Coturnix japonica: one gene and its partners. The protein of the gene in region 1 purifies or fractionates together with the protein of each later gene. This does not show direct contact. Links are inferred from orthologs where the notes say so. Each region holds a gene or a part of one and is shown in the gene's direction. Other genes may lie near its edges. The genes, in order: GOSR1, BET1 and BET1L.

The links.
Region 2: the proteins of GOSR1 (region 1) and BET1 purify together in Homo sapiens (affinity purification with mass spectrometry; 3 studies listed by BioGRID and IntAct, with this or other methods). This does not show direct contact. The link is inferred for Coturnix japonica from reciprocal best matches to the Homo sapiens genes GOSR1 and BET1.
Region 3: the proteins of GOSR1 (region 1) and BET1L purify together in Homo sapiens (affinity purification with western blotting; 3 studies listed by BioGRID and IntAct, with this or other methods). This does not show direct contact. The link is inferred for Coturnix japonica from reciprocal best matches to the Homo sapiens genes GOSR1 and BET1L.

Annotation. Positions count from the first base shown.
Region 1 is NC_029534.1:5,040,232-5,043,930, forward strand, and holds the start of GOSR1 (Golgi SNAP receptor complex member 1), read left to right. Parts: upstream 1-852; 5' UTR 853-948; coding exon 949-979; intron 980-1,234; coding exon 1,235-1,340; intron 1,341-2,103; coding exon 2,104-2,191; intron 2,192-2,399; coding exon 2,400-2,507; intron 2,508-2,910; coding exon 2,911-3,002; intron 3,003-3,371; coding exon 3,372-3,446; intron 3,447-3,699. UniProt on the Homo sapiens protein: Involved in transport from the ER to the Golgi apparatus as well as in intra-Golgi transport. It belongs to a super-family of proteins called t-SNAREs or soluble NSF (N-ethylmaleimide-sensitive factor) attachment protein receptor.
Region 2 is NC_029517.1:21,336,846-21,340,593, reverse strand, and holds the start of BET1 (BET1 homolog), read left to right. Parts: upstream 1-923; 5' UTR 924-1,062; coding exon 1,063-1,081; intron 1,082-3,222; coding exon 3,223-3,338; intron 3,339-3,748. UniProt on the Homo sapiens protein: Required for vesicular transport from the ER to the Golgi complex. Functions as a SNARE involved in the docking process of ER-derived vesicles with the cis-Golgi membrane.
Region 3 is NC_029520.1:1,402,465-1,406,081, forward strand, and holds BET1L (BET1-like protein), read left to right. Parts: upstream 1-810; 5' UTR 811-934; coding exon 935-953; intron 954-1,094; coding exon 1,095-1,186; intron 1,187-1,530; coding exon 1,531-1,587; intron 1,588-2,286; coding exon 2,287-2,454; 3' UTR 2,455-2,997; downstream 2,998-3,617. Other genes in the region: RIC8A (synembryn-A), read right to left, coding at 411-494. UniProt on the Homo sapiens protein: Vesicle SNARE required for targeting and fusion of retrograde transport vesicles with the Golgi complex. Required for the integrity of the Golgi complex.

The DNA of each region.
Region 1 (3,699 bases):
GTGAATGAGCCCCTCAGTGCCCACGCAGGGGTCGCATCTCCCGTTGGGTTTGGTGCTGCGCTGTGACTTCAGCAGTTCCGTCCCCAGCAATAAGTCCTCGGGAATCAACACACGGGCTGTCAATGGGGCTGATGGGGCCGGCGGTTCCGTAGCCGTGTGAGTGCACCCCCTCTGTGCCACAGCGGTGCCCAGGAGCCCGGCTGTCCTTCTGTCTGTCCGTCCGTGGAAGCGTCCGCCCCACGCGCACTGTGCCTTCGCTGTACGTTGTCACGAGGGTCTCAAAGCGTCCTTCCCAGGGAGGTAAGGGCCGGCTCGGGGCCCTCGGGTCGTTTTTTACCTGTATTCCGATAACCTGTATAAAACTATTTTGATGTCTGCCCGCCTCCTCTCGTTCTTCGCCCTCCCGAGGTCGCCGGGGATGGGGACATCCAGGAGGGGAGTAAACTCTTGGAAAGGTCTGACAATAGTAGGACACGGGGAAATGGTTTGAAGTTAAAAGAGGGAAGATTTAGGTTGGATGTCAGGGGGAAGTTCTTCACTAGGAGAGTGGTGAGGGCCTGGAACAGGCTGCACAGGGAGGTTGTGGATGCCCCGTCCTTGGAGGTGTTCAAGGCCAGGTTGGACAGGGCCCTGAGCAACCTGATCTATGGGGTCTCTATGGGGATCTGTTGGGTCTATGGGGTCTCTATGGGGTCTCCTGGGCAACCTGATCTAGTAAAGGTGTATGTTTGGTGGCCCTGCCAGGCAGGGGGTTGGAACTCCATGATCCTTGAGGTCCCTTCCAACCCGGCTCATTCTGTGATTCTGTGACACTCGGTGCTCTGCGCCTCCCGGCCGCCAGGGGGCGCTGCGTTGGGAGGTCCGCCCGTCCCGTCGTACACCGCTCCAGCAGGGAGACGCTCTAGACAGGAGTTCTCGGCAGGCGGCGGCTGACGTTGGACAACAAAGATGGCGGCGGGGAGCAGCAACTACTGGGAAGGCGAGTGGGGTCGGGGCGAAGCTGGGCACGGAACGGGGCAGGGCGAGGCCTCGGCCGGGTCCCCTCTGCCCGCTCGCGGCCGCAGGGTGTGGTGGTCTCGTCAGCCGTGAGGCGCCGGTGTCCGGCTGAGCTCCGCGGCGGGGAGGCCCCTGTGGGGCGCGGCCTGTGGGGCCCTCAGCCCCCGTTGTCACCCGCCTCGGGGGGGGGCCGCCCCTTTCTGAGGGCCCTGTGTGTGACTCCCCCCGTTCCGTGCAGATCTCAGGAAGCAGGCGAGGCAGCTGGAGAACGAGCTGGACCTGAAGCTGGTTTCCTTCAGCAAGCTCTGCACCAGCAGCCGGGACGGGCGGCGCGACAGGTATAGGTACTAAGCCGTTTCTTTATGTTTTTATTCGCTCTTTGCAGAGTTTGCTTCGTTTGTGTGGTTTGCTTAATGCTGGTTCCCTCTGCCACCTGTGGCATTGCTTAAGGATCTTACTTTGTGCTGCTGGTGTTGGGCTGGGGAAACCTCTCTCAGGTGCCAGCATCGAGATGTGTGCCCCACCTGAGAGCACACACGGTGTGTGTTAAGTTGTGCTTAAACTTCAGTTTATACTTCATGGGATCAGCACAGCTTGGGTCAAAAGGGTCTTTAAGTTCCAGCCCTCCTGCTGTGACCAATGTCCCCACTGAATTGTGGGGAAGGTGCATGAAGGAAGGATGTGGCTTCCCTAGTGCACAGCTGCCTGCATCGTTTCCCAGTTCTCCTGCATTATGGTTCTCAGAGACTCAGTAAGTGCTTTGTACTCGGGCAGCTCAGCCTCACTCTACTCCGGTGGGTGGCTGTGCTGCTGGTGGGCCTGTGTAGGACTGGGCTGTGGTGAGTAGCCCAAGGAGAACACCAACAAAGTGGGGAAGTGAAGCAGTCAGTCTGTGGCAGTTCCTTCCCAAGGGGTGGCTGTTATTTCTGGTTTCCTTTAAGGTAAGTCGTAATAAGGAGAGCTGTATGTGTATGTTTGTACGTATATATATAACAGAATTTGTTGGAAGAAATTGCGTCTTTAGGCAGATTTGTATTTGACCAGAGGATTAATATGATAAAACTAACCAACAAGTTGTATGTTTTAGTAACTCACCTTCTTCCACAGCTCTGACACCACTCCTCTCTTAAATGGATCGAGCCAGGACAGAATGTTTGAGACGATGGCTGTGGAGATTGAGCAGCTTCTAGGAAAGGTAATGCACAAAATACCGTATATTTACATCAGCATTTTGAAGTATTACTGTACAGGTTTCTGTGATGAGTGTTTAGAAAGTAATAGCGTGGGTGGTAGAGAAGTGTTGCTTGCTGAAGGTGTGTATCTGATATAAGGGAAACCTCCTTCACCTTTCAGGTCATTTCAGGTTGGTTTTGTTTTTGTGTTGATTTTTTCTCCTCTTGCAGCTTACTGGAATAAATGACAAAATGGCAGAATATACAAATAGTGCAGGAGTTCCATCCCTGAATGCTGCACTGATGCACACATTACAGCGTCATAGAGACATCTTGCAGGTAACAAGCACGTGATCTTCTTGTTGTGTTTTATTACTTTGGGGTAATGATTAGAGTTATTAGCAGCTTGCTCAGACACACTCCAGTTGCCTGTTGGCTGGGAGGAGGCTCTATAAGTGTCTGATATGAAAGAAACAACAAAGCTAACTTACTGAAAATAAAGCCCTTTCCTCACATGTGCTGCAAGCACAGGGGCTGAAAACATCCTGACAAACAAACGTCTCCAAATGAGGTCAGGGTTTCAACAGCTTCATGCATACATTGTGATGTTAATGTAATGAGTTGGTCTTGGGCTTTTTGCTCTAGAGATGTGAACATTAGACTGAAATGGCAGGATTTGAGTGTCTTGCTTTGGTAACTCGATCTCAGGACTCTTAACTTTGGAGCGATTGTTTTATTACAGGATTATACTCACGAATTCCACAAAACCAAAGCGAACTTCTTGGCAATAAGAGAAAGGGAGAATCTGCTGGGATCAGTACGAAAAGATATTGAGTAAGTTGTGTGTTGCAGCAGCGGTGTGGGGCTGTGCCAGGAGGGAGAAGGCAGCACCTCCTGTATGAGTGTGCTTGGCTTGGGTTGATCCACTGCGCTCTGAGCAAAGTGAGAGTAGTTGCATGAGTTCACAGATTTACTGAGCTTCTGATTGAAGTATTTGCTGGTTTTGTTTGCTAATTTTAACCATGAAAATGTTTGTGAAAGTAACATTGTTAAGCACAAATCACTTATAAAATGTTTGAGCGTGACCAAAGCTTTTCTGGTTGGTCATTTCAGAGCAGTACAGCATGATGTTACATGGATCAGTAATGTCTATTGAGAAACCTCTGGAGAAAATGTTGTTCAATTTTTACTTCTTGCATTTAGGTCATATAAAAGTGGGTCTGGTGTGAATAACAGAAGAACAGAACTATTCCTGAAGGAACACGAGCACCTTCGGAAGTAGGTGTTACTTATTATTGCCTGGTAACTTGCATGTTTCCCTATGGTGGAGATTGCAGATTTTTCTGGGGGGGTAAAAATTCCAAGTGTGAATGAGAACTTTGTCTGTGATTTTTCCCTACCTCTAACAAATGTGTACAGAAGGCAATGGAAGAGCCTGGCTCCAAAATACTCATCAATCATCCCTATTAGACAAGGAAAACAGAGGGTGCTGCCTTTTTATTCTTGCTGCAGAGGACGTGAGGTTAGGAGA
Region 2 (3,748 bases), on another chromosome or scaffold:
CTACATGCTTAGTGCAATCATTTTATTCAGAAATGTCTCATCAGCTGTTAGTTAATTGTGCAATGGATCAAACTTCAACTACTTTATTTAAAAAAAAAACAGTAATAATTGCAGCTTACCACTTAAGAAAACAGTGATTGAAGTATTTGGCACTAACAAAATGCTGTATCAGCTTTTCAGCGCTCAGATGATGAGTGTAACTTGCTAGGTTGTTTTCACAGCCTGTCAGTGTTGAAAGTAGAGCGTTAATCATGCTGACTGTGAAAACCTGTTTATCAAACATGTAAGAACAATGTCAATCCAGTTAGTAATTAACCAATTCACTGATAACACAGCCATTATTATTACCACACTAATAAGATTCCTTAGCTGAACTTTTTTTTTGTTGCCTTTGATTAAAAAAGCATGTTGATCAGGCACCAATGTGGCTTCAGGGCCATGGGCAACCTGATCTAGTAAAGGTGTATGTTTGGTGGCCCTGACAGGCAGGGGGGTTGGAACTACATGATCCTTGAGGTCCCTTCCAACCCGGGTCATTCTGTGATTCTGTGATTCTTGCTGAGGGGATGCTAAGATCAGCCATAGCCACAAAACAAGCAGAAGAAACTATCATAGAATCAATGAAGGCTGGGAAAGACCTCTAAGATCACCTCAAGCCACACTCAGTGCCCACTGACCCTCAGTGCCACAGCCATAAGGTCTCTGCACACACCTCCAGGGACGGTGACGGCACCACTTCATGAGCACATGAAAACTGTATTTCCTCAGTGCACTAAAGGGAACATTTATCACATTGGTACCGTTTCCACGCTCGCAGTGAAGCCCTGAATTGCTGTCTATGAACGTCACACAGCTCAGCTGCAGGCCTACACTTCCCATCGGCCCCTATACGCCGTAGCTCCCAGCGGGCCGCGCGGCGCAGCGCTGTCGTGGCGCTGCCGGTGAATGGGGCGGCTGGCGGAGCGGCGGGCGGGCTGAGCTCGGCTCTTGCTTCTCTGGCACGACCGCCCCGCTCCTCACCCTCCTCCTCCCCGCCCTCCCTCGGCAGCTCCGGGCACGGCCATGCGGCGAGCGGGGCTGGGTAAGAGCCGTCCTGCGTGGGGGGGGCGAGAGGCCTGTGGGCCGTGGCGCTGCGCGGGGTCATCAGGCTGATGTGATACGAGCGTGGGTCGGGGGTTGGGTGGGAAGGGTGTCTTGTTTGTATTCGTGTTTTATTTAATTGCGGATGTTCTGTATGTTTTCCTGCTATGTTTGAGGCTTTTGCTTTGAGAAGGCTTCCACTTTCGGTTTACCCCTGATAAGAGTGGTGGAAAGGATGGGGTCTCTGCTGGGTGTGCTCAGAGAGCCAGGTCTGGCCCTTCACCTCGCAGCCACGTTGATGACTAGAAGGGAACTTTGACCTCGTGTGTTGCTTTCTGGGACCTGGAAGTGCTGTCGTGTCCCTGTACAGCATCCCCTCTGTGGAGAGGGGGTGGCTGAGAGCCTCGTCCTGAGAGTGAACACCTCCATTGAATCACCAGGCTGAGGAATGCCTTGTGGCCAACCCAGGCATGGTTGTAGAGCTACCCGAGCTTTATTTCTCCATTTCTTGTTTGTGGCATGCAATAGTGTTTCTACAAAGTAAAACCAAACCTTAGATATGCTCCTTAATAAATCAACAGAGGTGTGTTGGGATGTTGGTTGCGAAAAGGTAGGCATTGGTAGTACTCAGGTCTTCAAATCTTGCTTTATTTTTCTTTGCTGGAGGAGCAAAACCTGAAAAGTCAGAAGGATCTTGAGGCCCCACAGCTGACTCTTGTGAACCAGAGCTGAAGGCCCTGCTCCTTATATTGCTTATCATAGAGTGGCTTGGGTTGGAAGAGACCTCAAAGCCTGTCTCGTTCCAATGCCCTGTAATGGGCAGGGTTGCCAGCCACTAGATCAGTCTGCCCAGAACTCCATCCAACCTGGCCCTGAACACCACAAGGGATGAGGCACCCACAGCTTATCTGAGCAGCCTCATCGCTCTATGAGTAAAGAACTTCTTCCTGATGTATAACCATAACATCCCCTCTTTTAGTTGAAAACCATTCCTTCTTGTCCTATCACTATCTACCAGTATGAAAAGTTTTCACTCCTGTTTATAAGCTGCCCTTAAGTACTGGAAGGTCACTATCAAGTCTCCCCACAGCCTTCTCTTCTCTAGGCTGAACAAGCCTGGCTCCCTCAGCCTGTCTTCACAGGAGTGGTGCTCCCTGCCCTCTGATATTTCTGTGTCCCACCTCTGGACTGTTTGAAACATTCCACATCTTCTCTGAAGCAGGAGCCCCAGGCCTAGATGCAGCTCTCCAAATGGAGCCTTAGGAAGGCAAAGTAAAAACAATCACCTCCCTTACCCTGCTGGCCAACCTTCTTTTAATGCTTTTAAAGGAGTGAGGGGATGGGTTGCTAAGGAAGGAATGCAGCTGGAGCTGGCCTTTGCTTGGCAAAGCTCTTACAATCAGTGCTGTAAGGGGCATCCAGAAGGTACTTCTTAAAACACCTGCTGAAAGGTTGAAGAGATGATTTAGATATCTCTTAGGACCCTTATCAGTGAAATTTGCTGATATTTATCTTGGTGTGTTGGCTGTCAATCCAGCCTTTTTATTTCATGGGCTGGAAGTACAAACTGCCCATCAGTATGTTTACTTCTGTCTCCAGCTACCTAGTACCTCCTGTTTAGCCTGAGATGATATTGTGGTTATGTCTATGGGCACATCCTGGCTATTAGTGGTGTTGCAAGACGGCTTGTAGATGTGCTGTGTAGGAGTTTCTGGCCTTTCTTTATGTAGCAGTAGCCAGGCTCTACACAGATCTTCTTGTTTCCTCTCTAGAACAATAGAATCCCAGAATGGCTTTTGTTGTGAGGGACCTTGCAGACCATTTAGTTAGAACTCACCTGCTATTAGTACTAACTTACAAGCACTCAAAATTGCTTGTTACTTAGTAGGAGGTACTGTAGTTACATATAATTGTAAAGGAAAACAATAGGAACAACCCTGACTCCATTAAATGGCATAATTCTTAGTTAACAATGGCATCAGTAGTTTTGATTTCAGGTCTAGGCTGTACTGTACTGTACAGCCCAGTTGTCTGATTTCTGTTAAGGAAATGCATTTTTAATGCAGAGTGTTTTCCCACAAGTGAAGAACACTTACTCCAATGATATTTCCTACCTGTAACTACTGGCTTTTCTGCTTACAGGTGATGGAGCACCAACTGGTAACTATGGCTATACTAACAGTGGGTACAGTGTGTATGAAGAAGAAAATGAAAGGTTAACAGAAAGTCTGCGCACTAAAGTCAGTGCAATAAAATCAGTAAGTATTTAATTATAGTTAAATTTAATTAAAACGGGTGGACTTGTGACTTGTTTATAGATGGTGGTGAAAAGCAGTAGCAGCAGTAAGAAATCATGGAGTTGAGACTGTGCCACAGAGACGTACAGGTTGTGGCTAAGGGAAAGCACTGTGACAGCAGAGTCTTTGTCCTTACTTCATAGGGGATCTGCTGTAAGCTGAAGGTCTGGCTGGTGCCTGTCTTTCTGCAGCAATAAATTGCAGCATTTGCTGCATCTCTATATGCTACTTATTTCCTATTTCCCTCATTCTGACCTGCAGTTGACTTTGCTTGCTAGCAATGACACAAGTCCAAGATCAACTTGTTGGATGATCCCCAGACTATTGCTGATCCTGGTTACAGTCTCTGGACTGAGTGACTGGCTGCCTCT
Region 3 (3,617 bases), on another chromosome or scaffold:
AAATCACAACAATCCTACCTGCAGCTCCTCCCTAGGTGTGAGTTTTATTACCTCCAAACCTTGCCTAGCATCAAGGCTCCTCCTACTCCTCATGCCCATGATTATTCCCCTACCGGGTTTAACTTGCAATCTGGATAATAAAGAAAATCCTTCCCATGTACTTTTCTTCCAGCATAAACAAGATAAAGGGAGGCTTCTTAGCTGCTTCCTAGTAAAGCATCATTAAGAAGCAGCTTGCAAGTAACAAAACAAAGCAGTCTATGACATCTCCAGGGCAATAATGCAGAGACAGATGCTCAGAGGAGATGGGATAGCTGGGCAGCACTGTGAACCCATAACACGGCCCAACCTGCTTCCAGGCTTGCTGACAGCAGCAGGTGACATCAGGCTGAGGTGTGATGCTCACTCACCTCCTGGTTGTAGATCTGAAGCACCTTGAGGACCGCGTCTTGCTCCCCGCTTTCCACCGTGGCCACTACGGTCCTGAGCTCCATGATACCAACAGCTCAGCTACAGCAGGATGGGAAGCAGAGAGGAAAGGCTTCCAGAGCTCCTGGATAACAGCGGTGCAAAGGGACCTCGATCCTTGAGAACTGAGAGGCAGTGAGAAAGGGGGTGGGGAAAAAGAAACAAAAATCAAGCGAGCCGGCTCACTGCTGCGTCCATAAAGCAGACGGGTGAACCACGTACAGCCTCTCTGCCCCTCTAATCCTCTTCTTTCCTCTTTGCTTTCCGACGTTTAATGCATGCCCTCCCAGCACAGCGCTGGGACACCCCCCCCTCCCCACCCGAGGATTACCGCAGCAGATCACGGTGCTTCCCGTAATAGCTCCCCGCTCCTCACTACCCAACAGGGAAGGCGAAGGCCCAGCGGCCATTTTACAGAGGCGGAGCTCCTCCTGCCGGGCGGAGCCGCCTTTCGCCGTGTGCCGCCATGGCGGACTGGGGGCGAGGTGAGGGGGAAGGAGTGAGGGGCGCGCTGAGGGGCTGCTAAAGGGGGCGCCCCGCCGCCATCTTGGGGCACCCCGCCGCCATCTTGGGGATGTGCCATGCTCCCCAGTCGGGATGATGAGACGCGTTTCTTTTCTCCTCAGGACAGAATGCGGTTGCTATGGAGGATATGCTGGACGTGGAGAACAAGCGCATGACAGACAACCTGGCCAGCAAAGTCACCAGGCTGAAGTCGGTGAGTTGCTGGCGCTGCTATGGACGCTTGCAGGGTCTCAGGGACAACGCAGTTGTGTGGGCTTCCTCAGTGCTGTGGGCATACGATGGCTGACGTGTAGCAGTAGGAGGCAGTGCTGGTCCGTCAGCTGTTGTCATATGTCCAACATAGGGAAGTTTCTGCCAGCTTTCCCAGATTATTTCCACAGCAAAAGGATTCCCACAACCCCAAACTGCAGTGAGTGAGAGGCCTTGTTTTGTGGCTGTGCTTAACAAACCTCCACCACATCCTCTAGTGTGGGCCTAGATGCGTTCCAGGTTGTCTTGGTGTTCATTAACGTCAATTTCCTCTCTTATGCTGTGTAGCTGGCTCTGGATATTGATAAAGATGCTGATGAACAGAACCGTTACCTGGATAGCATGGTAAGGAACCAAAAAAGAAGGGTAAAAAGCATGAATTTCAATGTTGGGACCAGTTTGGTCAAAGGTGGGAGCTTGGAAGCTTAATAGCTTGGAACCTTAATAGCAGTGTATGGCCTTGGAGTATCTGAACTGGATATTTGTTCAGCCTAGAAATCAAAAGAGTGGAGAGTTGGAATGAGAGATGTAAAGACAAGAGATCTTAAAGGAGAAGCCCCGAATCAGCACGCAATTGTGCTTCTATTAGAGAAGATTTAGGGATATTTCAGGAGAAACGTGAGCAAAAAGTGGGAGGTAGTTTATGAGAAAGGAAAACAGACGTGGAGTCGAAATGATAATGAATTGCTTTAAGACTTGTTTGCTGCCACCTGGTGGTGTTACAAGTGTATGCTGCCCCATGCTGAAAGAAAAAAAAGAGAACTAATGGAAAGAAACTGCGTGGTTTTGGTGCTTTTTAGCCTGCCCTGGCAGGCATTAACGGTGCTAGCTTTATGTAGAGATACTTGGTATGCAGTATTTACCTGTGCCTTTGCCACGAGCGCAGGCAGGGAAGTTCCTCATAAGAGAGACACGATAGGTACAGAGATACAGGCAGTTACAGCGCAGCTGCTGCAGTTGTTCTTTAAGCAGGAAGCTGGACCCTCCTCATGGGCTGCCTCTCCAGTTTGAAATGCTGCTTTTTGCACTTTGTTTCTCCTCTAGGATTCGGATTTTCTGAGTGCTACTGGGCTGCTGACCGGCAGCATGAAGCGATTCAGCACCATGACACGCTCTGGGAGGGAGAACCGCAAGTTACTCTGCTTTGTTTCTGTAGGACTGGTTGTTGTTTTCTTCATCCTCTACTATCTTGTGTCCAAAGCTGGGACTTGATCTTGGTTCTTGCGTAGTTTTACTGAACTAAATCAATGTGATTGACAGACTTGTTCAGCGCCTTTCTAGATCTGCCCTGCTTTGGGATCCTTGGGACTTCCCAACAGACATTCCAGATAACTTTTAACCAGTGTTTTGTCACCATTCTGGCTGGTCTTGGAGGTAAAATGAGTATTTCACTGACAGCACATCCACCAGGCTGCTCTGGATGACACATCCCACCGCACATATAGACCCTGCAGCACCCAGACCTGGAAGAGCTCAGTCAGCCCCTGGGTGATGCCACTGTTGTTCAGCTCCTGCAGCATCACATCTGTCACCTTTCCTTGGCAGCTGCCTGCCCTGCAAAGACCATTCTAACTGGATTTCCACATATCACCTGATTTTGATGTTCATGCCTATATCTCTCGTCTCATCCATGTCTTGCAGCCAGTTCTTAAGGGATACTTTTGTCTTACCTCCATTACTAATACCTGGCATATCTGACAAATCCAGATGGTTATCAATACAGGTTTAATAAATCAGAGGTTTGGAAGCTGCAAAGTTTAGGCTGTAATGATTTATAAACTTTGGAATGATCAATGTGTGACTTAATCCAGCATGACCCCAATAAACGTGTGCCTGGGCTGGGTATGCCCTCATCCCCCTACTACCTAGCAGGAACTCAGGTGTTCAAGTGCTCCTCTGCACCCAACCCATAGGGCCCCATACATTCCCACCCCCAGGCATTCAAACACAGGGACAAGGCTTAACTTGCATGCATTTAATTTATTGTCCTCAACTGTGACACATGGGCTGCGTGCAGCATGTCCCTAGTGCAGGGGGATGTCACCAAGGGAATGGAATGATGTGACACGTCATGGGGGCTGCAGGGACAACATGGGATTGGCATCGATCACTGGGGTGGGGAGAGACTGTGGGGTATAATTGGGGCTGGGAGGGGAACACAGGGTGACCTTACAAGGTGCGGTATGTCTGTATATATGTGGGAACACATGGGATGCCCCTAAATACACAAGGTAAAAGCCTGTCTTTGTGGCAGGATCCAAGACATTCCCCTCCCAGAGATACCCCCAGCTCTGCTGTGCCCCATGGTCACATAGATGACTCCTGTGCCCCCTCACCTGTGCATCAACTCATGTCCCCAGGTGTTTCCTGGGTGC